3 linked regions of the Anolis sagrei genome follow. The protein of the gene in region 1 purifies or fractionates together with the protein of each later gene. This does not show direct contact. Links are inferred from orthologs where the notes say so. Each region holds a gene or a part of one and is shown in the gene's direction. Other genes may lie near its edges. The genes, in order: MEPCE, HNRNPUL2 and SRSF3.

Region 1 (10,197 bases):
AGTATAGTACTATATAATACTAATATTGCACTATGCTAAAATATATATACATATAATATTGATAATATTATAATTTAATACAATATAATATATAATAATTATACATTGTATATTGCATGTAATATTAATATTTTTGCAGTACAGTAATACAGTACAGTATAGTAATATGTAATACTAAAATTGTGCTATGCTAATATATATATACATATATGTATATACATATACATATATATACATACAATATTGTTAATATAATTTAATACAATATAATACTAGTACAATATCATATATAATAATTGTACATTGTATATTACATGTAATATTACTAATATTTTTGCAGTACAGTAATATAGTACAGTACAGTAATATATAATACTAATATTGTGCTATGCTATATATATAATATATGATAATATAATTTAATACTAAATATAATAGCCGCCAAATGTGGCAACCAGACACCTTCTAACCTAAGGAGTGACCATCACTCAAAAAAAAAATATTGATTTTGTCATTTGGGAGTTGTAGTTGATTATAGTTCACCTATAATCAAAGGGCATTCTGAACACCACCAACGATGGAATTGAACCAAACTTGCCACACAGGACTCCCATGGCCAATAGAAAATACTGGAAGGGTTTGGTGGGCATTGACCTTGAGTTTTGGAGTTGTAGTTCACCTACATCCAGAGAGCACTGAGGACTCAAACAGTGATGGATCTGGACCAAACTGGGCACAAATACTCAATATGTCCAAAAGTGAACACTGGTGGAGTTTGGGGAAAATAGACCTTGACATTTGGGAGTTGTAGTTGCTGGGATTTATACAATCAAAGAGCCCCTTGAACCCCACCAATGATAGAATTGGGCCAAACCTCCCACACAACCCCCATGACCAATAGAAAATACTGTGTTTTTGATGGTCTTTGGTGACCCTCGCGAACCCCCCCCCCCCCCCCCCAAGTCTCTCAGCATTCCTTACCATTATGTATGCTGGCTATAGAGCTTAGTGCCACCTAGAATATCTCAAAAGGTATTGGAGTGGGAGGAAGGACCCGTGGGTGGCCTTGGGCTGCACCTGGCCCTCCAAGGCTGTCTTTGTGTCCTTGGACCTCTCCAGACTGGCCTTTGTCTGACCAAAAAAAGGTATAAGGCTTCTCTTGGAAGGCAATGGAAACCGCAATTCGCCCTTGTAGATAAATGGCAGCCACTTCCTGTGCATTTTCACATCAGTAATGGTTTCCTTTTAACCAAACTTCCTGTAATCTGGGTTGTTGTAGGTTTTTTCGGGCTATATGGCCATGTTCTAGAGGCATTCTCTCCTGACGTTTCGCCTGCATTTATTTATTTATTTATTTATTTATTTACTTCGCTTATATACCGCAATTCTCAGCCCAAGGGCGACTCACTGCGGTGTACAACATAGAAAAACAGGTGCAAAATACAAAACATAGTGTAAAATAATCCACATTATCAAAAAACATCTCATCAAAACATCAACATTACTACAAAAGCCATTCCGAGTCGTCTCATCGTCAAACCCACAATCCGATATCATTTCCGTTGTTCCATTCCTATGGTCAAATTACCAATCATTGCACTTCTTGTCCAAATGCCTTCTTAAACAGCCAGGTCTTTAACTTCCTGCGGAATATCAACAGGGAGGGAGCTAGCCTGATGTCCACGGGAAGGGTGTTCCACAGCCGAGGAGCCACCACTGAGAAGGCCCTATCTCTCGTCCCCGCCAGCCGGCAAGCATCCTCAGAGGTAGTGAGGTCTGTTGGAACGAGGGGAAAGGGTTTTATATATCTGTGGAATGACCAGGGTGGGTCATTCCTGTAATCTCTTTGTGGATGTTTTCAGAGAGTCCCAGGGGAAGAATACTGGCACTCCGACCCACAGCTATTGCTTCTCCTTTCTCTACAATTGCAAGGGGCAACACCCCATGGGCCATCTAGTCCAACTTCATTCTGTTATACAGGAAAAGCACAATAAAAGCACCCCTGACAGATAGCCATTGAGCCTGTTTAGAACCTTCCAAGGAAGGAGCTTCCACCAAACTCCGAGGCAGAGAGTTCCACTGCTGAACAGCTCTCCTTACGGTCAAGAAGTTCTTCCTAATACAGTTTAGGTGGAATCGCCTTTCCTGTAATTTGAACCCATTACGCTGAGTCCTGGTTTCCAGGGCAGCAGAAAACAAGCTTTCTATTTTTCCCCCCTGGCTTTAGCCTGCTCTGTTGCTGTATTTGTAGTGTATTTATAAGCATCTGTGGGGCACAACATAATTCTCACATCTTCATACCTGATACCACCAGTACAAAAAGATACCTGCAACTATTTGCCAAGTTATTTATTTATTGTGTCAGAAGCAAATTGAGAATAGAGTTATAATGTATAAAAACCCACAAAGAAAGTTTGAAAACTTGGCATTATACTAAATGTCATAGAATCCTAGAATCCAAGAATTCGAAGAGACCTCATGGGCCATCCAGTCCAACCCCGTTCTGCCAAGAAGCAGGAATATTGCATTCAAAGCACCCCTGACAGATGGCCATCCAGCCTCTGTTTAAAAGCTTCCAAAGAAGGAGCCTCCACCACACTCTGGGGCAGAGAGTTCCACTGCTGAACGGCTCTTCACAGTTAGGAAGTTCTTCCTCATGTTCAGATGGAATCTCCTCTCTTGTAGTTTGAAGCCATGGCTCCTTACTTACTTACTTACTTACTTAGGCGATCCCTCGTTGGACGAGTAAGATGGTCTTCCATTATGGATTTCCCTGTGGGTCCGTATGTGGCTGTGGAGCCCTATTCTTGCTCTGCATCTTCTTCCGCAGTGAGGGCATTGGTTTCCAGGTGGAAGGCGGTCTCGGCCGGGGTTGGCTTGACGCGCCTTCCTCCTGGCACGTTTCTCTCTTTCACCCTCCACTCGTGCCTCCTCAAATTCTGCAGCACTGCTGGTCACAGCTGACCTCCATTGCATCCTAGTCTCCAAGGAAGCAGAGAACAAGCTTGCACCCTCCTCCTCCCTGTGGCTTCCTCTCACATATTTATCCATGGCTATCATATCTCCTCTCAGCCTTCTCTTCTTCAGGCTAAACATGCCCAGCTCCTTAAGCCGCTTCTCATAGGGCTTGTTCTCCAGACCCTTGATCATTTTAGTCGCCTTCCTCTGGACACATTCCAGCTTGTCAATATCTCCCTTCAATTGTGGTGCCCAGAATTGGACACAATATTCCAGGTAAAGTGGTCTAACCAAAGCGGAATAGAGCATGGGGAGCATGACTTCCCTAGATCTAGACACTAGGCTCCTATTGATGCCTGAGGCCAAAATCCCATTGGCTTTTTTTGCCGCCACATCACATTCCTGGCTCATGTTTAACTTGTTGTCCACGAGGACTCCAAGATCTTTTTCACACGTACTGCTCTCGAGCCAGGCACTGTCCCCCATTCTGTATCTTTGCATTTTGTTTTTCCTGCCAAAGTGGAGTATCTTGCATTTGTCACTGTTGAACTTCATTTTGTTAATTTTGGCCATTCATCTCTCTAATCTGTCAAGATCGTTTGAAATCCTGCTCATGTCCTCTGGAGTCTTGGCTCTCCCAATTTGGTGTCGTCTGCAAAATGTCCTGTGACACGTATCTGGCCACTTGGAGTGCCTCAGGTGTTGCCGCAAGAAGGTCCTCCCTTGTGCATGTGGCAGGGCTCAGGTTGCATTGCAGCAGGTGGTCAGTGGTTTGCTCTTCTCCCCACTCGCATGTCGTGGATTCCACTTTGTGGCCCCATTTCTTAAGATTGGCTCTGCATCTCGTGGTGCCAGAGCGCAGTCTGTTCAGCACCTTCCAAGTCTTCTGTGTGCCCAGCGGGGAGTCTCTCATTTGGTATCAGCCATTGGTTGAGGTTCTGGGTTTGAGCCTGCCACTTTTGGACTCCCGCTTGCTGAGGTGTTCCAGAGAGTGTCCCTGTAGATCTTAGAATACTATTTCTTGATTTAAGTCGTTGATGTGCTGGATGATACCCAAACAGAGGATGAGCTGGAGATGTCTCTGCCTTGGTCCTTTCACTATTGGCTGCTACTTCCCGGCGGATGTCAGGTGGTGCGATACCAGTGAAGCAGTGTAATTTCTCCAGTGGTGTGGGGCACAGACACCCCGTGATAATGTGGCATGTGTCATTAAGAGCCACATAGAATCATAGAATCAAAGAGTTGGAAGAGACCTCATGGGCCATCCAGTCCAACCCCATTCTGCCAAGAAGCAGGAATATTGCATTCAAATCACCCCTGACAAATGGCCATCCAGCCTCTGCTTAAAAGCTTCCAAAGAAGGAGCCTCCACCACACTCCGGGGCAGAGAGTTCCACTGCTGAACGGCTCTCACAGTCAGGAAGTTCTTCCTAATGTTCAGATGGAACATTAGGAACACTGTTTTAGCGTGGTGAGATGTGTTCCACACTGGGCATGCGTACTCAGCAGCAGAGTAGCACTGCGCAAGGGCAGATGTCTTCACTGTGTCTGGTTGTGATCCCCAGGTTGTGCCAGTCAGCTTTCGTATGATATTGTTTCTAGCACCCACTTTTTGCTTGATGTTCAGGCAGTGCTTCTTGTAGGTCAGGGCACAGTCCAGAGCGACTCCCAGGTATTTGGGTGCCCTGCAATGCTCCAGTGGAATTCCTTCCCAGGTAATAATCCTCAGAGCTCGGGATGCTTGTCTGTTCTTAAGGTGAAAGGCACATGTCTGTGTTTTAGATGGGTTGGGGATCAGCTGGTTTCCCCTGTAATAGGCAGTAAGAGCATCTAGAGCAGGCATGGGCAAACTTGGGCCCTCCAGGTGTTTTGGACTCCCAACTCCCACAATTCCTAACAGCCTATCGGTTGTTAGGAATTGTGGGAGTTGGGAGTCCAAAACACCTGGAGGGCCCAAGTTTGCCCATGCCTGAACTAGAGCTTCGGAGAGCTTCTGTTCTACCATCTCAAAGCTCCCTGCTTGAGCGGTGATGGCACAATCATCAGCATAGATCTATATATATTAGATATATAGATTTACAACTCGCCTTTGAGCCTAACCTCCCCCATCAGTGTAACAATAAACACATTGGCCCTCTATGAATCCCGTGCCGCCCTTTCCCACGTTCCTCTCCCTTTCCCCGCGTGTCCTGGGGTCTGTTTGTTTACCCACCTCCCGCGCCTGCGCAGTTGGTAAGAAGCAGTGGCGGCTGCGACATTCGGCGCATGCGCCACTGGGGGGCCTGGAACAAAACTACAGTTCCCAGAGTGCTTTGCAGGCATCCGTTTCAGGCAAGTGGAGCCATGTGATCTTTTGACAACTGTCCATATTGGGAAACCCTTTTAAAAAGAAAAACAAAAAATGATTAAAATTCTTCTTTGCACAAAGAATGTGAAAGTATTGGTTCCAAGGGCGGATTTACTTAAATTATATTAAAATAGATTATATCTTTGGCAAGTGAGGCTGTTTTCCTCTTTTTTTAGGAGACTAAGCCAATGCCTGAAAAAAAACCGGCTTGTTCTTCGAGGCAGATTTTTGGCAGTTGACGAAAAGTGTATTATTTAACACATCCAATGCGGGGAAATATATCTACTTCGCCTTTCCTTTGCGACTTTAAAGCTCGAAATAACGCTCATGCAGGCGTATGAGTTAGACAACCCTATACCGAGAAGGACCCTCACCCACTCTGAGGAGAAAAATTAGATCCGAGTGCTGAGCTTTGATTGGATGGAGGAGCTCCCCTTCTGCTTTCCTATTGGTTGAAATCTAAATCAGGAGGCGGGAGGAAGAAAAGGAGGGGCGCCTTGTGAGGAATTGGTTCTGATTGGTTTCCGATACACGCGGCTCGAGCGGGCGCCGGGCTCTGATTGGTTGTCATCGAACCGAGGGGGCGTGGTGTATATTAGCCACGCCCACAAGGTATATAAACCCAGCGCTGAGGGGGGAGCGTGCCATCGCAGGAAATCGGGAGGCGCGAAGCGTTCTTCCTTGGACGGAGCGCTGGCTGGGCTGCGCATGCGCTGATCAAGAGGGCGGGGCGTTGTGGGTGTTTTGTGCGCCTGCGCGACGGAGGCTGGGCTTGATCGCGGAGTGCGCCTGCGCGGGAGAGAGCAAAGGAAGGGAGCAGCCGAGGGAGCGTACTGCGCACGCGCAGAAGGAGTCTGAGGCAGAAACAACGTGAGGCGGGCTGAGGAGAGGAACAAGGCTGCTTCTCTCCTCTTCCCCGGCTGGCCTGAGGGATGATCGAGATGGCGGCCGACAAGGACGCCTTCCGAGTCCCGGCCCCGCCTCCCCCGTTGCCTAAACCCCCTCCGAAGGGGCCTACCACCTGTGGAGCCGGGGACTTGCCTAGAAATGCAGCCGGGAAAGGAGGCCCCATGGCGGGGAAGGCCCAAGGGAGCCGTGGAGGTGGGGATGGAGGCCTCACAGACCCCCAACGAGGAGTGGAGGCCTCTGTGGAGGAGGGAGACGGCCTAGCTGAGCTCCACAAGCCTCGCAATGGCTTCCAGGCCCCTCCACAACCACAACAACAACCACAACAGAGGCCCAACAAGAGGCGTAACAGCTGCAATGTCGGTGGAGGAGGCGGTTTCAAGCACCCCGCTTTCAAGCGCCGCCGGAGGGTCAACTCCGAGTGCGACCCGGTCCTCCCGTCGGAGTTCCTCCTCGGCGGGAACATCTTCGACCCGCTCAACCTCAACAGCCTCCTGGACGAGGAGGTCAACCAGGCACTCAACGCCGAGACCCCCAAGTCGTCGCCGCTGCCGGCCAAAGGCCGCGACCCCGTGGAGATCCTCATCCCCAAGGATATCACCGACCCGTTGAGTCTCAACAACGCCCAGGACGACCCTCCCGTCTTGGCTTCGCCCGCCAAACGCAAGCGGCACCGGCACCGAGGGGCGCAGAGGGGGGGCAGCACCGACGGAGCGGGGACCAAGGCTCCCGCGACGCCCGCCGCCACCGCCTCGGCTTCCTGCCAGAAGTCCAAGCCCTGCAATGGGGCCACCCCCCAGCCGTACGAACTCAACACCGTCATCAACTGCAGGGATGAGGTGGTCTCGCCGCTGCTTCCCGCCGGACATGGGGAGCCCCAGCCCAGCCACCAAGGGGTTTCCGCCGGAGGGGGCGTCACCCCCTCCTGCGTCTCTGTGGCATCGTCCGCCAGCACAGGGAGCCGGCACCACCGCAAGCGGCGCAGGACTTGTAGCAAATCCGAAGTGGCGGCCGCGCGGCATCAGGGGCCTTCCTCGGCGTTGGAACAGCCTTCCCGGAGCAGCCCAGAGAGGGCCCGCAGTGCCCCCCGTTCCCGCCACGCGCCCCCCGCGTCCGCCCGCCGACAGCCCCGGCACAAGTTCCAGTACGGCAACTACTGCAAGTACTACGGATACCGCAACCCCGACTGCGAGGATGCCCGGCTGCGGGTGATGAAGCCGGAGTGGTTCCAAGGTAAAGAGGTGCTGGACGTGGGCTGCAACGTGGGACACTTCACCCTGAGCGTGGCCAAGAAGTGGGGGCCTGCCCGCATGGTGGGCCTGGACATTGACGGGCACCTCATCCACTCGGCCCGGCAAAACATCCGGCACTACCTCTCCGAGGAGCTCCACCAGCAGAAGCAGGAGAGCGACGAGGGTCCGAGCAGCACCGCGGCCAGAAAGACCTTCCCTGCCTCTCTGATGGCCAGCCGGGGCCCCATCGCCGCTCCGAGGGTCCCTCAGGAAGGGACAGATGCCTCTGTGTTCCCCAACAATGTCATTTTCATCAAGGTAAGGCAAGGAGGCTCCTGATGGCATAGTGGGTGGTTATTATTATTATTATTATTATTATTAAACTTCATTTATACCCCGCCACCATCTCCCCTCGGGGACTCGGGGTGGCTAACATGAGGCCAAGCCCAATGAATACAGTAAACAAATAAGATATGTACAGCAAATAATAATTAAAATTGAAGTTCAGCAATAAAACAATAACATACAAACAATAACACGCTCCAAGTCGCCTCTGGGCTAAGAGGGGCAGTATATAAATGTGGTAAATATATAAATAAACAACAAAAGGGAAATAACACTGGGTATAAAGTAAAATAAAATTAGGGATAAGGGATTAATCTGAATGGGTTATTATTATTATTATTAAACTTTATTTATACCCCACTACCATCTCCCCTCAGGGACTCGGGGTGGCTAACAGGCCAAGCCCAACGAATACAGTAAACAAATAAGATACATACAGCAAATCTATATAAATAAAATTTTAATGTATGTTTTGTGGGATTAACATAACTCAAAAACCACTGGATGAATTGACACCAAATTTGGACACAATACACCCATCAGGGCAACGAGTGACCCTCATTAAAAGCACAGCAGAAGACAAAAAATACATTACAAATAACAAAAAATACATTACAACACATGCTTAAAACCACACACACACACACATATATATGCAAACACACATACACACAAACATGCACATTAAAAACACATCTACATAGACTGGGCCACAGCAACATGTGGCAGGGGACAGCTAATAATAATTAAAATTAAAATAAAGTACAGCAATAAAACAATAACATACAAACAAGAAAAGAAATTAACATATTGGGTATAAAGTAATATAAGATTAGGAATAAGGGCCAAGGTGCGAAGATAAAATCAAGGGACATAGGAAAGGATAACCGAAGCAATTTAACCACTGGGAGGTACAGGAGGGACAAGCTATGGGGCTTAATTACTCGCTAGGAATAAGGCAAGGTGCATCAAGAGGACAGGTATGTGCTGGGACTGTCGTAGTGTGGGGATTATTGTTCATTCATCAAAAGCAAGGCAGAACAGCCAGGTTTTCAAGCCTTTCCTATAAGCTGACAAGGTGGGAGCTAGCCTAATCTCCCCAGGTAATGACATCCAAAGCAGGGTTAAATAAATACAATCCTAGAGTTGGAAGAGACCTCGTGGGCCATCCAGTCCAATCCCATTCTGCCAAGAAGCAGGAAAATCACGTTCAAAGCACCCCCGACAGATGGTCATCCAGCCTCTGTTTAAAAGCCTCCATAGAAGGAGCCTCCACCGCATAATGATAACACTAACATCTACATAATAATTAATAATAATGATAATAAAATCAAAATACAGAACATTACAATAATACAAAATATATAATACAAAATATAATAATAATAATAAATTTAATTTTATTTCACCCTATCTCCCCAAGGGGACTGGGCAGATTCCAACATACAATGGCAAACATTCAATGCCTGCATAAAACAAACGAATACTGAGATAATCCCAGAGAAGCCCACATATGAAAAAAGCATTAAAACCTAACATCAATAAATTAAGTCTAACATCAATAAATTAAACTGGATGTAGTGGAAAAATTATAGCATAAAATCTAAGCAAACATCCATATTAATTTACAACAGCCAACTAGAGGTGTGGGTTGGTTGTGCAGTCAAGCGGTGGTTATTGGGCTAGCGTGGAGTAGGAGATGCAAAATAATTCTCAATCAGGGCCCAGTAATGATCTCTTAGTATTTAATGCTCCCCCTCTCCATACGCTAGTGAGCAGAAGTAGGTCTTCAGTTGTTTTTTGAAGCAATCTATATAAATAAAAATGTAATGTTCGTTTGTGGGGTTAACAGAACTCAAAAACCACTGGATGAATTGACACCAAATTTGGACACAAGACACCTATCAGGCCAACGAGTGATCATCACTCATAAAAACACACAAAAAAACCCCCAGCAGAACAGACTTAAACTTCCCAAAATAAATTATATACATGTACACATACACTCATATACATATACACATGCACACATACATACACAAGCACAGACAAATATACACATACATACACATGCACACATACATGTACACATACACATATACTCAATATACATATACACATATAAACACAGAAATACACAAATATATATACACATGTACACATACACATATAGACATACATACACACATATATACACAACCACACATATACTTAATATGCATATACACATATAAACACAGAAATACACAAATATATATACACGTGCACACATACACATATAGACATACATACACACGTACATATACACAACCACACATATACTCAATATACATATACACATATAAACACAGAAATACACAAATATATATACACATGTACACATACACATATAGACATACATACACACAT
Region 2 (10,431 bases), on another chromosome or scaffold:
AGTATTATTTTATTACATTTATTATTTTACTTTATTATCAGTATTATTACATTTACATTATTTCACTCTATTATTATTTTATTACATTATTTTTTCTCTATTATTATTACATTTATTATTTTACTCTATTATTGGTATTATTACATTTACATTATTTTACTCTGTTATTATTATTATTACATTTATTATTTTACTTTATTATCAGTATTATTACATTTACATTATTTCACTCTATTATTATTTTATTACATTAATTTTTCTCTATTATTATTACATTTACATTATTTTACTCTGTTATTATTATTATTACATGTATTATATTACTTCATTATTGTTATTATTACATTTATTATTTTACTCTATATTATTGGAAGGATACGTAGCACATTTTCGCTGAAACAGGTTAGAATAATTTTTAATCAAAGTTGGTCAGGATTATTTTAAATTACAGTTTTATGTAAACAGTGAAAAACATTTAACCTACTGTTTCCTCAATTAGTGTAATTTTATTGGTATCTATTTTTATTTTGAAAGTTACCCGTCCGTAGCTGCTGCATTTCCCACCCTTGGCTTATACTCAGGTCAATAAGTTTTCCCAGTTTTTTGTTGCACAATCAGATACCTCGGCTTATATTTGGGTCGGTTTATGCTCAAGTATATACGGTAATTAAGATACAGTAATTTAAATCCATCCCAAAGTGGGAACAATTTAGTGGCTATGGGGAATTAAATGTTAATGCTGTCTTACCTTTACAATTACCTTTCTTGAACATGGATCCATCCATCCATGTTCAACATCTACACAAATGCCAGAAGGGACAGAGAGTTTCATCTATGCTGATGATCGTGTCATCACCGCTCAAGCAGGGAGCTTTGAGATGGTTGAACAGAAGCTCTCCGAAGCTCTAGGCGCTCTTACTGCCCATTACAGGGAAAACCAGCTGATCCCCAACCCATCTAAAACACAGACATGTGCCTTTCACCTTAAGAACAGACAAGCATCCCGAGCTCTGAGCATCACCTGGGAAGGAATCCCACTGGAGCATTGCAGCGCACCCAAATACCTGGGAGTCACTCTGGACCGTGCTCTTACCTACAAGAAGCACTGCCTGAACATCAAGCAAAAAGTGGGTGCTAGAAACAGTATCATATGAAAGCTGACTGGCACAACCTGGGGATCACAACCAGCCCTGAACCAGTGAAGACATCAGCCCTTGTGCTATGCTACTCTGTTGCTGAGTATGCATGCCCAGTGTGGAACACATCTCACCACACTAAAACAGTGGATGTGGCTCTTAATGAGACATGGGGTGTCTGCGCCCTACACCACTGGAGAAATTACACTGTTTAGCCGGTATTTCACCACCTGACATCCAAGGCAGTGATATCTCCAATTCATCCCTTGTTTGGGTATCAGCCAGCATGTCAACGACTTAAATCAAGAAATAGTTTTTTAAGATCTACAGAGACACTCGCTGGAACACCTCAGGAAGCGAGAGTCCAAAAGTGGCAGGCTCAAATCCAGAACCTCAACCAATGGCTGATACCAAATGAGAGACTCCCCCCTGGGCACACAGAAAACTGGGCGACTTGGAAGGCGCTGAACAGACTGCGCTCTGGCACCACGAGATGCAGAGCCAACCTTAAGAAATGGGGCTACAAAGTGAAATCCATGACATGCGAGACTGGAGAAGAGCAAACCACTGACCACCTGCTGCAATGCACCCTGAGCCCTGCCACATGCACAATGGAGGACCTTCTTGCGGCAACACCAGAGGTACTCCAAGTGGCCAGATACTGGTCAAAGGACATTTAATCAACTACCAAGCTTGCAAACTTTGTGTTTTGTCTGTTTGTTTGTTTTGTTAAAAATGTAATACAAATGTCTGGTTGCTGCTGACACGATAAATAAATAAAATTTGCCTTTCTCCTTTGTGAAAAGCAAACATTGTGTCAGCAGAAACTTAAGGCCAAACGGCATTTAAGTTTATGTGCATTGTGTATAAGATCATTCAGGGGGAGGCTCTTACCTTCTTCAGGAGGCTGCTCTGGAGCTCAGCTGCATTTAGGGAAGGAAGGCAGGCTGTCCTGGAAACAAGGGGCTGGACCATAGATTCCAGTTTCCGGCAGGCAACCCATAGACCTTTCCTTTTGTATGAGCTGGTCTGTGTGGCATGAAGGCACATGCGCATGGCTTCAAGGGCTCGTAGCAAACCCATGCATTTCATATCGTTTTCTATGGCAAAGAAAACCAAGAGTTGTTTTGTGACTCCCTTCCATTTTACCCAGCATAGAGGGAAAGTGAGTTTGCTGACTTAGTGAGGTTTATCTATGGACCAAGAGCTCCGCCCGATGGGAAACTGGTTAACTGCACATGGCTTCACTTGTTTAAGCACAATAGTAAAGCATGTATTGGGTGTCCCAAAAGTCACCTTATATATATGGTGACTTTTACACACACAAACTTGAATATTATATTATAGAATCCTACATTTGGATTTCCATCCAGTTCAACCCCTATTTGTCAGACAGTAGGACACATTCAAAGCCCTCCTGACAGATGGCCACGCAGCCTCGGAATCATAGAATACTAGTGTTGGAAGAGACCCCAAGGACCACCCAGTTCAACCCTGTATCATGCAGGAAAAGCACATTCAAAGCCTTCCTGACAGATGGCCATCCAGCCTTGGAATCATAGAATCCTAGTGTTGGAAGAGACCCCAAGGGCCATCCAGTTCAACCCTATGCAGAAAAAGCACATTCAAAGCCCTCCTGACAGATGGCCATCCGGCCTCGGAATCAGAATCCTAGTGTTGGAAGAGACCCCAAGTGAAGTTGAACATGACCCCGCCCCCATTAGAGATAGTAACTTATAGTTTTGCTAAGGGCAAGGACACCAGACTGGATAATAAGGGTTAAGCCTTAGTCAGTTTGGTGTGTATCATTTAATCAAGGCTTTATGCCCTATTTTCATATGTTTATAGCAGAAGGTAACCAATCTATTACTGAAAATCATGCCACAAAAGTATTTGACGTTTCCATCTGAGACACACCTGGGCTCCTGATGGTCCCCCATCTCACAAACAAGGGACTCTCTTTCCCCCTCATTGATATATTTCCCTTTATGGAGCTTCCTATGAATAATATGAACTATGGACACTGGGGGAGGATAGTTGGATTTAATCTCTGTATTATGATTTCTATATTTTTATATTTTCTCCTGTATTTCTATATTTCCCTTCATGAATCTGACCTTGCCCCTATCCTTGAGGAAAATGTATAAGGAAGCTGCCCTGCCTCTGGAAACAGCAATTAGTGATTGTGAAGACCCTTATCTTAGAACCTTACTTGCATGGAAAATACAAAGAATTATCTTTCCTGACTTCGGAGTCGGGCCATCAAGACGAAGTTCGCTTGGCAGACTTTTTAATCATATAACAATGGGGGGGGGGGGGGGGATGACCTTCGGAAAGCCCTTTTTCCCCCAACCAGTTTTTCTTTCAAACCTTTCCACTGAAGACATTCACCAGTCACCCCCTTTGTGACTGGTGAATGTCTGATCGCAAGATGAAAACTCGGATTAAGTAATCAATGCTTATCTCAGACCAATCTCAAGACAATAAGTTTGGCTTTTCTGGCAGGCCGATTCTGGACTCGTTAAGCCTCCTGGACATTAAAGCCATAATCCATTCAAGAATGCAGTATATTCCTTCGTCCCGACCCCCTCTCTTCTGATTCGCTGGAGCGCAGAGGCGGCAGGAGCCTCCTGATTGGCTCTGGCGCACCACGGAAGCCCTGTGATTGGCCCTGACGCATGGGGGATGGCCAAGCCTCCTCCCAGCTGTTTGCGCATCAGCCAAACCCCTTCGAGCTGGGCGAGAGGGGGGAGCGGGAGATTTGAACCACACAACTCTGTATTTTCTATAAAAATGGCATTTATTTGTGTAACTTCATGCTTAGCTTGGCGAATGATTGCTGCTTTGCATCCTTTTCAGCTGAATCGCTAAAATGGAGCCCCCGGTGGTGCAGTGGGTTAAACCCCTGTGCCTGCAGGACTGAAGACCGACAGGTCACAAGTTCGAATCCGGGGAGAGGCGGATGAGCTCCCTCTATTAGCTCCAGCTCCTCATGCGGGGACATGAGAGAAGCCTCCCACAAGGATGATAAAACATCAAAAAATCATCCAGGGGTCCCCTGGGCAACGTCCTTGCAGACGGCCAATTCTCTCACAACAGGAGCGGTTGCTCCTGACACGACAAAAAAAAAGAAAGAGCTGAATCACTAATAAACCTCAGTGGCACTTTCTTCAACTTTGGTGAGATTCTTTTTGGGAACTTAGGGAAAATCAATTGCTTAACATTAGGCTTCTCTTTGCTCACCAATGGTGGGGCCGCAGGGTCTCTCCTCCTGGGGTAGACCCTTCTAAAGTTCCTATCGACTTCACAAGGGCCATCCAGTTCAACCCTGTTTCATGCAGAAAAAGCGCATTTGAAGCCTTCCTCACAGATGGCCATCCAGCCTCGGAATCATAGAATCCTAGTGTTGGAAGAAACCATCCAGTTCAACTCGGATGGTCCAAAATGCAGTGGCCAGGCTGCTAGCGGGATCATCTATGAGATCCCATATTACACTTATTCTGCAACAACTGCATTGGCTACCAATAGAACATCGGATCTATTACAAGATTCTGATCCTGACATTTAGAGCTCAAAATGGCCAAGGACCTTTATATCTCAGGGACCGCCTCATTCCTTTTCCCCATCAGTGGTCACCTCGATCCACCCAGGAAAATCTCCTCTACATACCGGGCCCTAGGGAGGGACACCTGGAAGGCGTAGAGCTTTTTCGACCTATGCTCCAATTCTGTGGAACTCATTGCCTCCATACATGAGAGCAATGTCGGAGTTGCGACCTTTAGTAAAGGCGCTCAAGACTTGACTGTTCGGTTGTGCATTTAAGTAATCAGATCTAATATGCCAAATAGTCACTGTTGAATGTTTTTATGTTGAATGTTTTCATATTGTGTAAATGCTATTTTAGACTGTAAGTCGCTCGGAGCACCTTGGTGGAGAGCGACTAAGAAATAAAGTGAAGTGAAGTGAAGTGAACTCTGTTCCATGCAAGAAAAAGCACATTCAAAGCCCTCTTGACAGATAGCCATCCAGCCTCGGAATTATATAATCCTAGTGTTGGAAGATGACTAGGACATCTAGACATGGCAGTTTTCCTTCATTTCTTTTTCCATGGTGAATTGGATGTTTGGGTGTAAATTGGCCTTTATAGGCCAATGGATACTCCCCCAGAGACATCAGAAGAGCTGCAAGACCAAAAACAAGCCGCAAGAGAAAGAGGGCACCTGATGAACGAGGCTAGACAGGGGAGCTCCAGACAAGAAACAATCAGGGCCAGCTAATCACCTCCCAACAAAGGATTCCCCCAGGCAGTAAGAAGCCAGACTTTGAAAACTGCTAGGCCTTCAAATGCTAATCAAGCTGGCCAATTGCAACATTCTTTCTCCCACCCTGGACATTATTCCACAGATATATAAACTCCACTTGCCTAGTTTCCAACAGACCTCACAACCTCTGAGGATGCCTGGCATAGATGTGGGCGAATTTATTTATAAGCTGTATTAAGATGTCTATATTTTTGTCTTCTTGTTTAAATATTATATACTTTCCCGATTTAGATATAGTTTAAAAAAAAAAAAAAGCTTAATTGTCTATTCTGTTTCAATGAGAAGCCTGGGGGCCATGGCTCATTTTGAACCACAGCCGTTCAATGAGTCCTTCATTCCGATTGGTTCGCTTCAACCAATCAGATCTCTTGTAACAACTGCCCTAAGCGTCTTAGCTGCCCGCCAAAAGACAACAACGGCGCACGTAAACGCAGCTTTCCAGAAAGCGCAACACGCATGCGTACAAACAAAGAGCTAAGCGTCGAGGGGAATAGGGGCCAACAAGGGAGGCGACAGCGCATGCGTCGTGGTGGACTCTGAAAATCGCGCGCGCGTGATGGTACAGCGTTTTAAGCTTGGGGTTGGTGAAGGAGGAAAGCGTTGACGCGCCTGCGCAATAGAGCCCGGAGGAGGGTTTCGGGTGTGGGAGAAAGCAGGCCACGCATGCGCAAAGGCGCAGTGGGAGAATAGGCGAGAGAGGGCAACGCAGCGCAAGAAGCGGAAGCCGCGCAGGCGCAGTGCCGCGGGAAGAGCCGCGCAGGCGCATTAGCCCTCGGAGCTCGGCTCGCTTTCCCCCCTCCCTCGCTCCCTCCCCCCGCAGCGGAGCGCGCGCGCCATGGACGTGAAGCGGCTGAAGGTGACGGAGCTGCGGGCCGAGCTCGGGCGGCGGGGCCTGGACTCGCGCGGCCTCAAGGTGGAGCTGGCCCAGCGGCTCCAGGAAGCCTTGGACGCCGAGATGTTGGCCGCGGGCCCCGAAGAAGCCGGCGCCGAGGCCGGGGGAGCGGCGGCGGCGGCGGCCGGGCAAGGCCTCGGCAGGGCCCGCTTGGGAACGGGAGGCGGCGAAAATGACGACGACGACGAGGAGGAGGAGGAAGACGAGGACGAGGAGGAGGAGGAGGACGAGGAGGCGCTGCTGGCCGACGAGGAGGAGGCGGCGGCCGCGGCAGGAGGAGGCCCCGCACAGGCCTCGGCGCCGAGCGCGGAAGAGCAGGCCTCAGCCCAGCCTGGCAGTGGCGTCAACGGCGCCCAAGGGGCCTCCGAGGAAGGAGGAGCGGGGAGCAGCGGAGGCGGAGAGGAGGAGGAGGCCGAGGCCGCCGCCGCCGAAGAGGGCCGCGGCGAGGCCCAGCCCGGAGACAAGCCCCAGGGTAAGAAGGCCCAACGCCCGCCCGCCGCGCTTCCCCATCCTCCTGACCAGGCCTCCTCTTTGCCCGCCACGCTATTGTTTTCCATCCCCACCTCCCTACCTTATATCTTTGTGTCTATATATATATCTTAAACAGTTATTTGGTGTGTGTGTGTGTACAAAATAATAATGTTATATATATAACAACATTGTATTGTCGAAGGCTTTCATGGCTGGAATCACTCAGTTCTTGTGGGTTTTTTCGGGCTATATGGCCATGTTCTAGAGAACACAGAAGTGCTGGACCACTCTCACAACCACCATGTCAGACTACACAGAGAAGCCATTGAAATCCACAAACATGTGGACAATTGCAACAGAAAGGAGGAAACCATGAAAATGAACAAGATCTGGCTACCAGTATTAAAAAACTCTAAAATTGCAACAGCAGAGAGAAAAACAGGCAGGGACATCTAATCACCTTTCAAGAAGAGTTTGCTCCAGGCACAGTCAAGCCCATTGTATGCTAATCAAGGTGGTCAGTTGAAAGATTCACACCTAGTCCAATTTACAAAAGCCCTTTGTCTCACCCTGGTCATTCCACAGATATATAAACCCCTTTTTTCCCAGTTCCAACAGACCTCACCTCTGAGGATGCTTGCCATAGATGCAGGCGAAACGTCAGGAGAAATACCTCTAGAACAGGAGTCCTCAAACTTTTTAAACAGAGGGCCAGGTCACAGTCCCTCAAATTGTTGGAGGGCCGGATTATAATTTGAAAAAAGCATGAATGAATTTCTAGGCACACTGCACATACCTTATTTGTAGTGCAAAAAACACTTAAAAATACAATAATTAAAATGAAGAGCAATTTTAACAACTATATATTTATTAGTAGTATGGGAAGTATGGAGCTGCTTTTGGCTGATGAGATAGGAGTGTTGTCGTTGTTGTGTACTTTCAAGTCATTTCAGACTTAGGTTGGCCCTGAGCGAGGGCCGGGTAAATGACCTTGGAGGGCCCCCAGGCCTTACTTTGAGGACCCCTGCTCTAGAACATAGCCATATAGCCCAAAAAAACCCGCATAACAACATTATTTGGTATGTGGATATTTATTTATTTAAGGCATTTCTATGCCGCCCTTCTCATCCTGAACGGGACTCAGAGCGACTTACAATATCTATTTTCATACAGTATATTATATTATTAGCATAGTACAATATCAGTATACATTACTATATTGCACTATACAATTATATTGTAATATTATTAGTAATATTACATGTAATGTAAATATATAATTATAATTATAATATTGAATTATTATTAGTATTGTATTGTATTACATTATAATATTATAAATATTATATGTATATACAATATACTATATTATATTATTAGTAAAGACAAGATGGAAATGTCTTCTGTATATATATACATTAGTTATTATATAATGTATAATAGTATAATAAATGTATTATTATTATTATTATATAATAATACTAGCCGTCCCCTGCCACGCGTTGCTGTGGCCCAGTCTGCTGATCTGGAAAAGAAAAAATATATATAACCCACTGATTCCTCAATTAATGTCATTTGATTGGTATATATTTTTATTTTGCAATTTACCAATAGCTGCTGCATTTCCCACTCTCGGCTTATATTCAAGTCAATCCGTTTTCTCAGTTTTTTGTCGTAAAATTAGCCTTGGCTTATATCCGGGTCGGCTTATACTCAAGTATATATGGTAATGCAAAAGTGTTGGTTTCTAATCTATGTAATTTCTTGATGCTTGTCGGTATATACTCGAGTATAAGCCTAGTTTTTCAGTCCTTTTTTTAGGCTGGAAAAGTCCCCCTCGGCTTAAACTCGAGCCAAGGTTATTTATTATTTTACTTTTATTATTATTATTACTACTATTACTATTATTGTTATTTTATTCTATTTATTATTATTACATTTATCATTTTACTCTATTATTATACATATATTATTTTACTGTATAATTGTTGTTATTGCTACATTCATTATTTTACTCTTTTTATTGTTATTATTACATTTCTTATGTTACTCTCTATTATTATTGGAAGGATACAAAAGCACATTTACATTGAAGAAGGTAAATAATCATTTAATCAGGGTTGGACAGACTTATCTTAAATTACAATTTTTGTAAATATTCAAAAATATATAACCCACTGATTCCTCAATTAATGTAATTTGATTGCTATATATTTTTATTTTGCAATTTACCAATAGCTGCTGCATTTCCCACTCTCGGCTTATATTCGAGTCAATCCGTTTTCTCAGTTTTTTGTCGTAAAATTAGGTGCCTCGGCTTATATTCGGGTCGGCTTATACTCAAGTATATATGGTAATGCAAAAGTGTTGGTTTCTAATCATTGTAGTTTCTTGATGCTTGTCGGTCAACAGTATTACTTGTTTCTTGGTCAATGTTGATGTAGAGATTGTCTGGGTTGCCTACTCTGGAACATGGAACATATTGTCCTTTAGGGGTCCCTTTCAAATCTAGGATACAACATCTTTCATATACCTGTATATATGTGTGTGTGTGTGTGAATCATTTCTATCTATACCTATGGTAGATGGTTCTTTGTCAAGAAGGTTTTGGTTATTTTTTCTTGCCCCGTGAAGGGAGTTGGATTGGATGGCCATAAGGAACCATTTCTCAACCTGGGTGTTGGGTCCCCTGCAGAGGTCATAAAAGGGTGTTAGAGGGGTCACCACAGACCATCAGAAAACACAGTTTTTTTTGTTGGTCATGGGAGTTCTGTGTGGAAAGTTTGGCCCAATTCTAAGATTGGTGGGGTTTAGAATGCTCTTTGATTGTAGGTGAACTATAAATCCCAGCAACTACTACTCCCAAATGTCAAGGTCTATTCCCCCCAAACTCCATCTGTGTTCGTATTTGGGCATATGGAGTATTCGTGGCAAGTTTGGTCCAGATCCATCATTGTTTGAGTCCACTGTGATCTCTGGATGTAGGTGAACTACAACTCCAAAACTAAAGGGCACTGCCTACCAAACCCTTCTAGTATTTTCTGTTGGTCATGGGAGTTCTGTGTGCCAAGTTTGGTTCAATTCCATCGTTGGTGGGGTTCAGAATGGTCTTTGATTGTATGTGAACTATAAATCCTGGCAACTACAACTCCCAAATGACTTTTTTTTTGAGTGAAGGACATACACTGGGTTGTTAGGTGTCTGGTGTCCAAATTTGGTGTCAATTCGTCCAGTAGTTTTTGAGTTCGGTTAATCCCACAAATGAACATTACATTTTTATATCTATCTATCTATCTATATCTTAAACAGTTATTTGGGGTGTGTGTGTATATATATGTATATTACAACAACATTATTATTATATTGTATGTGTATATATACATTAGTTATTATATAATATATAATCTATATAAATAAAAATGTAATGTTCGTTTGTGGGATTAACAGAACTCAAAAACCACTAGACGAATTGACACCAAATTTGGACACCAGACACCTAACAACCCAATGTATGTCCTTCACTAAAAAAAATGTCATTTGGGAGTTATAGTTGCTAGGATTTATAGTTCATCTACAGTCAAAGACCATTCTGAACCCCACCAACTATGGA
Region 3 (9,738 bases), on another chromosome or scaffold:
CCCAAAGACCCCTCTGCTGTTTTCTTATGATACTACACACTACAGTGTCACCACTAGTGTTACTGTTTATAAAATAGAGTCAACCCTCTCCATTGTTTCAACCATCTATGACTTGATTTTTTTAAAAAATCCAAAACCCAACTATTGATTTTGCTATTTTATAAAAGGGACACTATTTTATTATACCATTGAATATAATAAGACTTGAGCAACCATAGATTTTGGTATCCATAGGGGGTGCTTGAACCAAATTCCAGCAGATATTAAGGACCCACACTATTTTAATTATTATTATTTTCATATTTTCATCACAGTATTATTATAGTGCTTTGATGAAATCCTATAGACATGTGATTATACCTTAATATTTTTAAAAAAATTAAAGGGAAACCAATGGTGGTACAAATGGCATTGTTGGTAATGAAGACTTCATGGTTCAGAAAATAAAACAGCTTAAAGATAAACCAATACTCTAACACGCGGTGAAACAAACAGGATAGTAATAATGGCGTTGGTGTGGATGAAAAAGAAAACATGTAAATCACATTATAAAACTGCAAAAATGACATGGGTATTATGTGTACACTATGTGTCAACAATCAGCTATCATTTTTAATTTTATTAATGTTATATGTTTATATATATGTTTATATTTTAATTATTGTGTGAGTTTATTGTTTGATTTGGTTGTATGTTTATCATCTGTATTGTGTTTTTTTCTGTTGTAAGCTGTCCTGAGTCCTTCTAGGCAGAGGGGGTGGCATATAAATAAAACTATTATTATTATTATCATCATCATCATCATCATCATCATCATCATCATCATCGTGAATATAGCTGAAGTGACTTTCAAATGGAAAAATGTGGTATAACATGATGGTGTGATAAAGACCTTGTTTTGGCTTTTTGTTTCATGCAAAAACTGGCAATTTAGTGAAGTACTATGAGGAACCTACATCTTTAAGTTGCTAAAAGTACATTATGTGATTGGATCCTTTTTAAAAGTCTGAAAATTAATTTGAGATCTATAGTAGCAATTATAGAGAACAGTTTGAAATAAATTTGAATTCACATGACTCTGTCAGCATAGAAAACTATTTACATGCCATACTTCTGGCAGGCCAGTCAATTTTAAATTATAAATTGTAACTTTACATTTGGTTAGTATTGGTGTTTTAATTTTGTTCTCTCTCTCTCTCTCTCTCTCTCTTTCTAGTATTGTGTTTTATCTGTGTGTTTTAACCATGTTGTATTCCCATCTCAAGCCACAGATAAAAGAAAAAAATCATTTATATTTTTATGTCTTATTTGGATGAAAAGTGTGATAAATAATTAATAAATAAAAGAAAAATAAAGCACTAAGACTCAAATAACAATTGTAGCCCATCCATATATGGATTTACTGGAGAGAAGGATTTTAGAGGCAAAGAATAAGTACTTTGGCCAAATAATGAGAAGACAGGAAAACTTGGAGAAGACAGTGATGCTGGGGAAAATGGAAGGAAAAAGGAAGAGGGGCTGACCAAGGACAAGATGGATGAATGGTATCCTCAAAGTGACTGGCTTGCCTTTGAAGAAGCTGGGGGTAGCCATGACCAACAGGGAGCTCTGGCATGGGCTGGTCAATGAGGTCACAAAGAGTCAGAAGCGATTGAACAAATAAACAACAACAACATGGATTCAACCTGCAATTTGCATTGGGTTGCTATAATTCATATTTGACTTTAACTTAACGGCTATCATATGCATGAGAGACCCCCAAAAGCCCCGCCCAGGAACTGCTCTGATGAGTTCTTGCCAAGTCAAGAGTATTCTCTTTCTTGATTGAATCAATCCACTTGCAGTCTTCCTCTTTCAAAGCACCACATTAGCACATTAGCAAAGTACCCTATTAACTGTATTTGCAACTGAGTCAGACTGAGAAGTTGTTTCCTTAGTATAGAGCTGTGGTTTCCAAATGTAAGTTGCAAGGTTTATTTCATGGTAGGTATATTCATTTGAGTTTTATATGTTTTTTTAAAGTATTTTAATGATGTTTAATCTGCTTTTAATTGTTTTTTGATATTAATGTAAATATTTTAAATAGTTTTGGAAGTTGCCTTGTGTCCCACTCCAGTTGAAAAGCATTATAAAATGCAGCAAGCAAATGAATCCAGATGTTTGTCTACCTCCTTGCTTAAGTGTCAATTATTTTTTCTGCTTACCAGAGCCTTCAAAGCAGTGTACAATGAAATGATAATTTAGAAACAGAAGCATCACATTCAACATGCACACACAGAGAGACTAAGCACAATAGTAAGAGCCCAAGATGTTACATAGTGCATGTAAGAAATTTAACAAAAATGGACGTAGCCTGACTTCATTTGGGAGAAAGTTCTACCAATGCAATAGCGACCAACAAAAAGCCTGGCCTTGTATTTCTTACCAACCTAATATCCAGTGTTTAGATAATTCCATCAGGTGCTGGTCTGTGGTGCATTTCCAGGGGACTATGTTATAACAATAGGGCAAATATATACCAGCGACACACTGAAAGAGTGCCAGCCTGCCATATCACATAGCTTCAAAAGTGCTGAATTAGGCATCATCACAACCATGGATGGCAATAGTTTAAAGAGCACATAGAATGATAATTGAAGCAAGTTCATTCCTGCCTTTTCTAGCTTAATAGAAACTAGAGGTGTGCCTATACTGTAGAATTAATGCTGTTTGACACCACTAATGGTCATGGCTCAGTGCTATGAATTTATGGGAGTTGTAGTTTGGTGAGGCACCAGCATTCTTTGGCTGAGAAGGCTAAAAACCTTGCAAGACCATATGCCCAATTCCATAGCATTATGCCACTAAAGTACAGCTTCCTGCAAAACAATTAACTTCAAAACAGAGACTTGCCTACTGAAAAATAAGAATGAAACAAAAGGCAAGTGTGGGAAAGTGGGGCCTTCCCAAAGTGAGAAAGGATACTATTTATTATTTATGTATTTTTTCATATATTTGTATCCCGCTCGTTGTTCATTCGTTCAGTCGTCTCCGACTCTTCGTGACCTCATGGACCAGCCTACGCCAGAGCTCCCTGTCGGCCGTTACCACCCCCAGCTCCCTCAAGGTCAGTCCAGTCACTTCAAGGATGCCATCCATCCATCTTGCCCTTGGTCGGCCCCTCTTCCTTTTGGCTTCCACTTTCCCCAGCATAATTGTCTTCTCTAGGCTTTCCTGTCTCCTCATGATGTGTATCCCGCTCTTCTCACCTTAAAAGGGGACTCGGAGCATCCTTACAGCAGGCAGCTATTTGATGCCAATACATACGAATATAAAAATAAATAAATACAATTAAAACCATACAATTAAACATTAATTATTAAAACATCAATTAAAATCCAGTAATCAAGATTGTAGTCCAAGGATTGTCCAGTTGTCAATTCCATTAGTCCGTTATCTTTATTATACTATTTACTGGTTGAATGCTTGGTCCCACTGCCACATCTTGAGCTGACCTGATTTCATTGAGTTCACAGATGAGGAGCCATCACTGAGATGGCCCTGTCGCTCATCCCTACCAATCGAGCTTGTGAAGGTGGTGGGATCAAGAGCAGGGCCTCCCCAGATGATCTTAACTTCCAAGGTGTTTGGACAGATATGCTGGGCTGGAACTGTTTAGCTTTATAAGCTAGCCAAAGCCAGCACTTTGAATTGTGCTTGTTAGCAGACTGGCAGCCAGTGGAGCTGGCATAACAGGGGGGTTGTGTGCTTCCTGAACGCTCCTCCAGTTAGAAACCTGGCTGCCAACCTTTGGACTAATTGAAGCTTCCCAACAGTTTTCAAAGGCAACTCCACATAGAGCATGTTGCAGTAATATATTCAGTATGTAACAAGAGCATGGACCACCGTGGCCAAGCCTGACTTCCCAAGGTATGGGCGCAACTGATGCACAAGTTTTGATTGTGCAAAAGCTCCCATGGTTACTAATGGTTATTTAGTCAAGCCGTCGTGCAGAAATCCATTTAGCTGTCTAATGTTTTCAAATCTCCAGTGAAGATACTGTATTGTGTCCTGCCCATAAATCATAATCTAACCCAGGGTTCCTCAAACTAAGGCCCAGGGCAGGATACGGTCCTCCAAGGTTATTTACCCGGCCCTCGCTCAGGGTCAACCTAAGTCTCAAACTACTTGAAAACACAGAACAATAACAACAACAATCCTATCTCATCAGCCAAAAGCAGGCCCACACTTCCCATTGAAATACTATTAAGTTTATATTTGTTAAAATTGTTCATCATTTTTAATTATTGTATTGTTTTTAATTATTTTTTGCACTACAAATAAGATATGTGCAGTGTGCATAGGAATTCATTCATTTTTTCCAAATTATAATCCGGCCCTCCAACAGTTTTGAGGGACTGTGACCTGGCCCTCTGTTTAAAAGGTTTGAGGACCCCTGATCTAACCAGTGGAAATAAGGGATGATGGGAAATGTAATCCCACAAGATCCTACATGTCCTTTATTCCTATTTAAAAGCACAGAAGCAGGTTCTAGCATATAGTTCACTGTGACTCCCGATAGCTGGATTCTAAATTTGTCTATTCAAAATTAAGCTCTACAGGATTTGAGTGGACACTCCCAAGGTGTAGCTACATTAGATTTAATTCAGTTTCCCACCATTTTGACTATTATGGCTCAATGCAGTGGAATCTAGGGATGCTTAGTTTGGTGAGGCACTAGCACTCTGGGACAGAGAAGGCTGAAGACCTTGTAAAACTACTACTTCCAGAATTCCATAGTATTGAGCTATAGCAGTTAAAGTGGAGTCGAAGTGCATTAGTTCTACAGTGTATCGGGTATGGGCAAACTTGGGCCCTCCGCTTAAGCGGCTGAGGGGGAAAAGGAAGGGACCCGAGGCTGTTAGGAATGATGGGAGTTGAAGTCCAAACCCCCTGGAGGGCCCAAGTTTGCCTATGCCTGGTGTAGATGCACCCTACATGGCGTGCCAGAGAAAGGCCTAAATCTGTCTCCCTCCCGCGCCTCTGTGTAGGCCTCGCCGAAGCCTCCCTTCACAGAGATTGCCATGGTAACCGCGCCCTTGCCTGCAGTCAGAGGCAGGAGAAAGGGGGAGGGGCTACCGCTCGTGTGGGCGGAGCTGGGTTTCGAAGATGTCGATCACTGAAGACACGGCTTCTCATTGGTGGGTAGGCTCTTCACGTGACTCTATGGGCAGGACGCATATAAATACAAGACCGTGGCGTTGCCGTCCGCCATTTTGTCCAGTACGAAAGAGTCGAGGGTGGTTAACAGCTCAGGCCTTGGCGGGAAAGAAGGCGAGGCCGAGCGCGCTTTAAGGGCCGAAGGACAAAGAGAAAGAGGCGACGAAGGCAGGAAAAGAAAAGGCAGCGTGAGAAGCCCTTGGCGCTCCTGGCCCGGCAGCCGGTGAGGGAGGGAGGGGCGCGGGCGGGGTGGCAGGCCTCGCGGCCCTGAGGGCGGACAAAGAGCCGCCGCCATTTTGTGGAGCAGAAGTAGTAACGCCAGGCCCCGGTCGGGGGGTGGGGCCCTGGGTGGGAGGGAAGGCTTGGCTCCTTCGGCACGGGGGGCTCTTTCTTACGCACCTACCATTAAAAAGAGAAGGTCGAAGAAATGGATGCCGAATTCTTCCTACTTGGGCGCCAAGCGGCGTTAATTACAAGCCGTTATTTTCCTCATCCGGCCAGCTGTAATTTCCCCACCGATGAGCAGCATTATTTTCGACAATCGACGCAGGGGATTTTCAAGTTGTTTTTTTTTGTGAAACATTTCAAATGCAGAAAAGTCACCCTATTTATTCATTTGCTGCATTTGGGCTTTCCGAACTCACATTAGCGGCTTCAGGAAAGAGCATTTTATGGCCCTACCTACATTGCCATTGTTTGAAACTGCATTATATGGCCAGTGTAGGCTCGTTCGGTGCAGTTAAACAGCATTATGTGTAGATGGGCCTTTATCTGTAGGCTGACGAGTGTTTATAATGAACATCCTGCCTTAAAGTGGGGCCTCTGGCCCTGTCTTGTTTTGGACGTTAAGCAGGGTCACCCCTGTGGAGCCCCCGGTGGTGCAGTGGGTTAAACCCCTGTGCTGGCAGGACTGAGGACCGACAGGTCGCAGGTTCGAATCCGAGGAGAGGCGGATGAGCTCCCTCTATCAGCTCCAGCTCAACATACGGGGACATGAGAGAAGCCTCCCACGGGGATGATGAAAACATCAAGTCATCCGGGCATCCCCTGGGCAACGTCCTTCCAGACGGCCAATTCTCTCACACCAGGAGTCACTCCTGACACGACAAAAAAAAACAAACCCTGGTTAGCACTTGGTTGGGAGGCTTCCAATGAATACTAAGTGCTTTAAGACAGTGGTTCGCAACCTGTGGGTCCCCAGGTGTTTTGGCTTACAACTCCCAGAAATCCCAGCCAGTTTACCAGCAGTTAAGATTTCTGGGAGTTGAAGGCCAAAACATCTGGGGACCCACAGGTTAAGAATCACTGCTCGATCATAAAACATGGGGAAGGTTTATTAAACTGCAAAAACATCCTGTATTTCATACAGTAGGACCCTTCCCTTATTTTCAAAAGGCCATTCACTGCAAACTATATTTGTCCCTCTCTTTCCCCAGCAATATATGTGAGCACTGTAATATCAGAGTATCTGAGAATCTAGCTCAGTGGTTCTCAACCTGTGGGTCGCCAGGTGTTTTGGCTTACAACTCCCAGGAATCCCAGCCAGTTTACTAGCAGTTAAGATTTTTGGGAGTTGAAGGCCAAAACATCCGGGGACCCACATGTTGAGGACCACTGCTTTAAGGTATGTTTCAGAGAATGAATTGGCAAACCACCTCTTGAATGTATTGTCGAAGGCTTTCATGGCCGGAATCACTGGGTTGTAGGTTTTTTTTGGGCTATATATGTTCTAAAGGCATTCTCTCCTGACATTTCACCTGCATCTATGGCAAGCATCCTCAGAGGTAGTGAGACCTCACTACCTCTGAGGATGCTTGCCATAGATGCAGGCAAAACGTCAGGACAGAATAGCTCTAGAGCAGTGGTTCTCAACCTGTGGGTCGCCAGGTGTTTTGGCCTACAACTCCCAGAAATCCCAGCCAGTTTACCAACTGTTAGGTTTTCTGGGAGTTGAAGGCCAAAACATCTGAGGACCCACAGATTGAGAACCACTGCTCTAGAACATGGCCATATAGCCCCAAAAACCTACGACAACCCACCTCTTGAATATTCCTTCCCCCAGAAGAACAGTATGTAATCCATGGAGTTGCAACCTGGATGTGTCAGTGTGCATTTGATGGTTAGGTCCCTGTTCATGAATGCCCAGACCTAATTGAGGGATAGGTTGTACTCGGCACTTTACCCCCAGCGCTTGCCCTATATAGAAGAACTTTATTTTTCAACCCCGCCTCCATCTCCCCAAAGGGACTCGGGGTCCCAAGACAGAATACAATTAAAAACAAAGTAAAACAATTTAGACAACATAAAACAGCGAAAACAACATCCTCACTACTTCTGAGGATGCTTGCCATAGATGCAGGCGAAACGTCAGGAGAGAATGTCTCTAGAATATGGCCCTATAGCCCCTAAAAACTTACAACAACCCAGTGATTCCGACCATGAAGGCCTTTGACAATACGTAACAATAATAACTAGCAACAACTATAACAGCAGACTAACTTTGGAGGGGGGGGGGACTATAGTCTGCTTTTTGCACGAGCCCATGCCCAGCCCTCACTAATTCTGATTATTTCCACTGTATTTCTGGTCACTGATTGTCGAGGTTTACTTTCTATAAATTTCAATTAAGTTTTTATACCCTGCTATTTTTAATTGATTAATTGGGTTGTGATACGTTACTATGTTTATAATTATGTTTTAGTTGGTAAACCGTGTTGTCTCTGGGCTTGGTCCTGCATGTGAGTCGCCCTGAGTCCCTTTGAGGAGATGATGGCAGGGTATAAAAATAAAATAGTTATTGTTATAACATAACTTGAAGGCACATATTCTGAAATGAACAGTCAGATTTATTCATGCTACATTTCCCCACTGGAGTGAACATCACAGGATTTAGTATGTGCTAATAGTGGAAGCTTGACAACATTTTTTACTTGATCATGTTGTAGAGATGCATCGTGACTCGTGTCCGCTGGACTGCAAGGTTTACGTAGGTAACCTTGGGAACAATGGCAACAAAACGGAACTGGAACGGGCTTTTGGCTACTATGGACCTCTGCGAAGTGTATGGGTGGCTAGGAATCCCCCTGGCTTTGCTTTTGTTGAATTTGAAGACCCACGTGATGCAGCTGATGCCGTGAGAGAGCTAGATGGGAGGTAAAAACCCCCCAGCTTTTTACATCTTAGAGATAAGTTCTGGGGGCATATAGGTTAGTTGTGGTTAAAGCCTTGATTTGTATGTTATGCAAAAATTGTATAATACACTAAAACAATTCAGCATTGTTGAAAAACACTGAAATAACACTGATGTCCTAGAATGGGAAGTAATAAGAATGTATAAGAATGTATTAAATTAGTGTGAATTATAATTAATTGCATAGGTAAGGGGAGTTGTTTGGAAAGCAAATGTGCAGTACTTTAGCCTCTAGAAGTTGCAGTTCTTTTAAATTAAAATGCTGGTTGGGAGCTCTTTTCATAAATGTATCGACAGCTAATGATTAAGTCTTCAAATACTTTTACGTTTTGAAGGCCAATGTCATGTTGGTTCAAACATTCATTCTTCTGTATTCATAGAGATTTTAGATGTTTTGTTTTAAACTTACCCTGCAAGCCTTTTTGAGGTACCATTTTTGGAGAAAAGCAGGATATAAATCAAATAAACTAAGCTATCACGAGGAAAGGTGGATAAGAAATAAAATCGTTATTGCTATCATCTCCAGTAACAATGGAGGCTTGGAATATATTTTGGTTCTGAAGTAGACTGGACTTCTTTTTAGATGTTGGCACATTTGGCTGAATTAATTCTGGACTTTAACAATAGCTAATTTATTTCGCAGAACACTTTGTGGTTGTCGTGTCAGAGTGGAGCTGTCTAATGGTGAAAAACGTAGTCGAAACCGTGGTCCTCCTCCCTCGTGGGGTAGGCGTCCTCGAGATGACTATCGCAGGAGAAGTCCTCCACCTCGCCGCAGGTATCTGGCATTAAAAAAAACTTGAACAGAGATTTTGGCAATATTAACGTTTTGTCATAATAGGCTTTTAAAAGGCTTGTGGATGTATGTCACTATTGAATCACCAAATTTTAAATTCCTTAAGTATGTGTTAGAGGGATACACTGTTGAACACTGACTTTTATCCTTAGGTATCTATACCAGTTGATAGCTCCCTCTAACATGGATTATCACCTTTCCTCCCGAAGTCTGTTCATCTTCTAGTTGCTTCTTTTTTCTTCCCAGTACTCAAACTTGATTTTTGCTTTTCTTTATTCCATTGTTGATAAACATTACATTCAGCTGTTTGGCTTTTTTCCACTCAAGATATTTTTCTGCTGTAATCACAAATGATGCCAGGCAGGCAACTGTTTTAAAAATGCTAAAGCAATCAGCAGTTGCTTAGCTAGACTTGAGAGTCACAAGCAGTTGAAATGTGACTCCATTGTAGTGCCACAATACTAAATTCCAAAATAAAGGTTTTTTTCTTAGTGACGCAATCAATGATCCAGACAGGTTTGTTGGATGTTAAGTATTCACTACAATATTTAAA

What was found.
Region 2: the proteins of MEPCE (region 1) and HNRNPUL2 purify together in Homo sapiens (affinity purification with mass spectrometry; 3 studies listed by BioGRID and IntAct, with this or other methods). This does not show direct contact. The link is inferred for Anolis sagrei from reciprocal best matches to the Homo sapiens genes MEPCE and HNRNPUL2.
Region 3: the proteins of MEPCE (region 1) and SRSF3 purify together in Homo sapiens (affinity purification with mass spectrometry; 3 studies listed by BioGRID and IntAct, with this or other methods). This does not show direct contact. The link is inferred for Anolis sagrei from reciprocal best matches to the Homo sapiens genes MEPCE and SRSF3.

What each region holds. Positions count from the first base shown.
Region 1 is NC_090026.1:2,896,926-2,907,122, forward strand, and holds the start of MEPCE (7SK snRNA methylphosphate capping enzyme), read left to right. Parts: upstream 1-5,945; 5' UTR 5,946-6,237; coding exon 6,238-7,761; intron 7,762-10,197. UniProt on the Homo sapiens protein: S-adenosyl-L-methionine-dependent methyltransferase that adds a methylphosphate cap at the 5'-end of 7SK snRNA (7SK RNA), leading to stabilize it.
Region 2 is NC_090032.1:12,991,140-13,001,570, forward strand, and holds the start of HNRNPUL2 (heterogeneous nuclear ribonucleoprotein U-like protein 2), read left to right. Parts: upstream 1-6,225; 5' UTR 6,226-6,293; coding exon 6,294-6,822; intron 6,823-10,431. Other genes in the region: TTC9C (tetratricopeptide repeat protein 9C), read right to left, coding at 2,031-2,228.
Region 3 is NC_090024.1:187,252,753-187,262,490, reverse strand, and holds the start of SRSF3 (serine/arginine-rich splicing factor 3), read left to right. Parts: upstream 1-5,237; 5' UTR 5,238-5,422; intron 5,423-8,144; 5' UTR 8,145-8,146; coding exon 8,147-8,352; intron 8,353-9,032; coding exon 9,033-9,167; intron 9,168-9,738. UniProt on the Homo sapiens protein: Splicing factor, which binds the consensus motif 5'-C[ACU][AU]C[ACU][AC]C-3' within pre-mRNA and promotes specific exons inclusion during alternative splicing.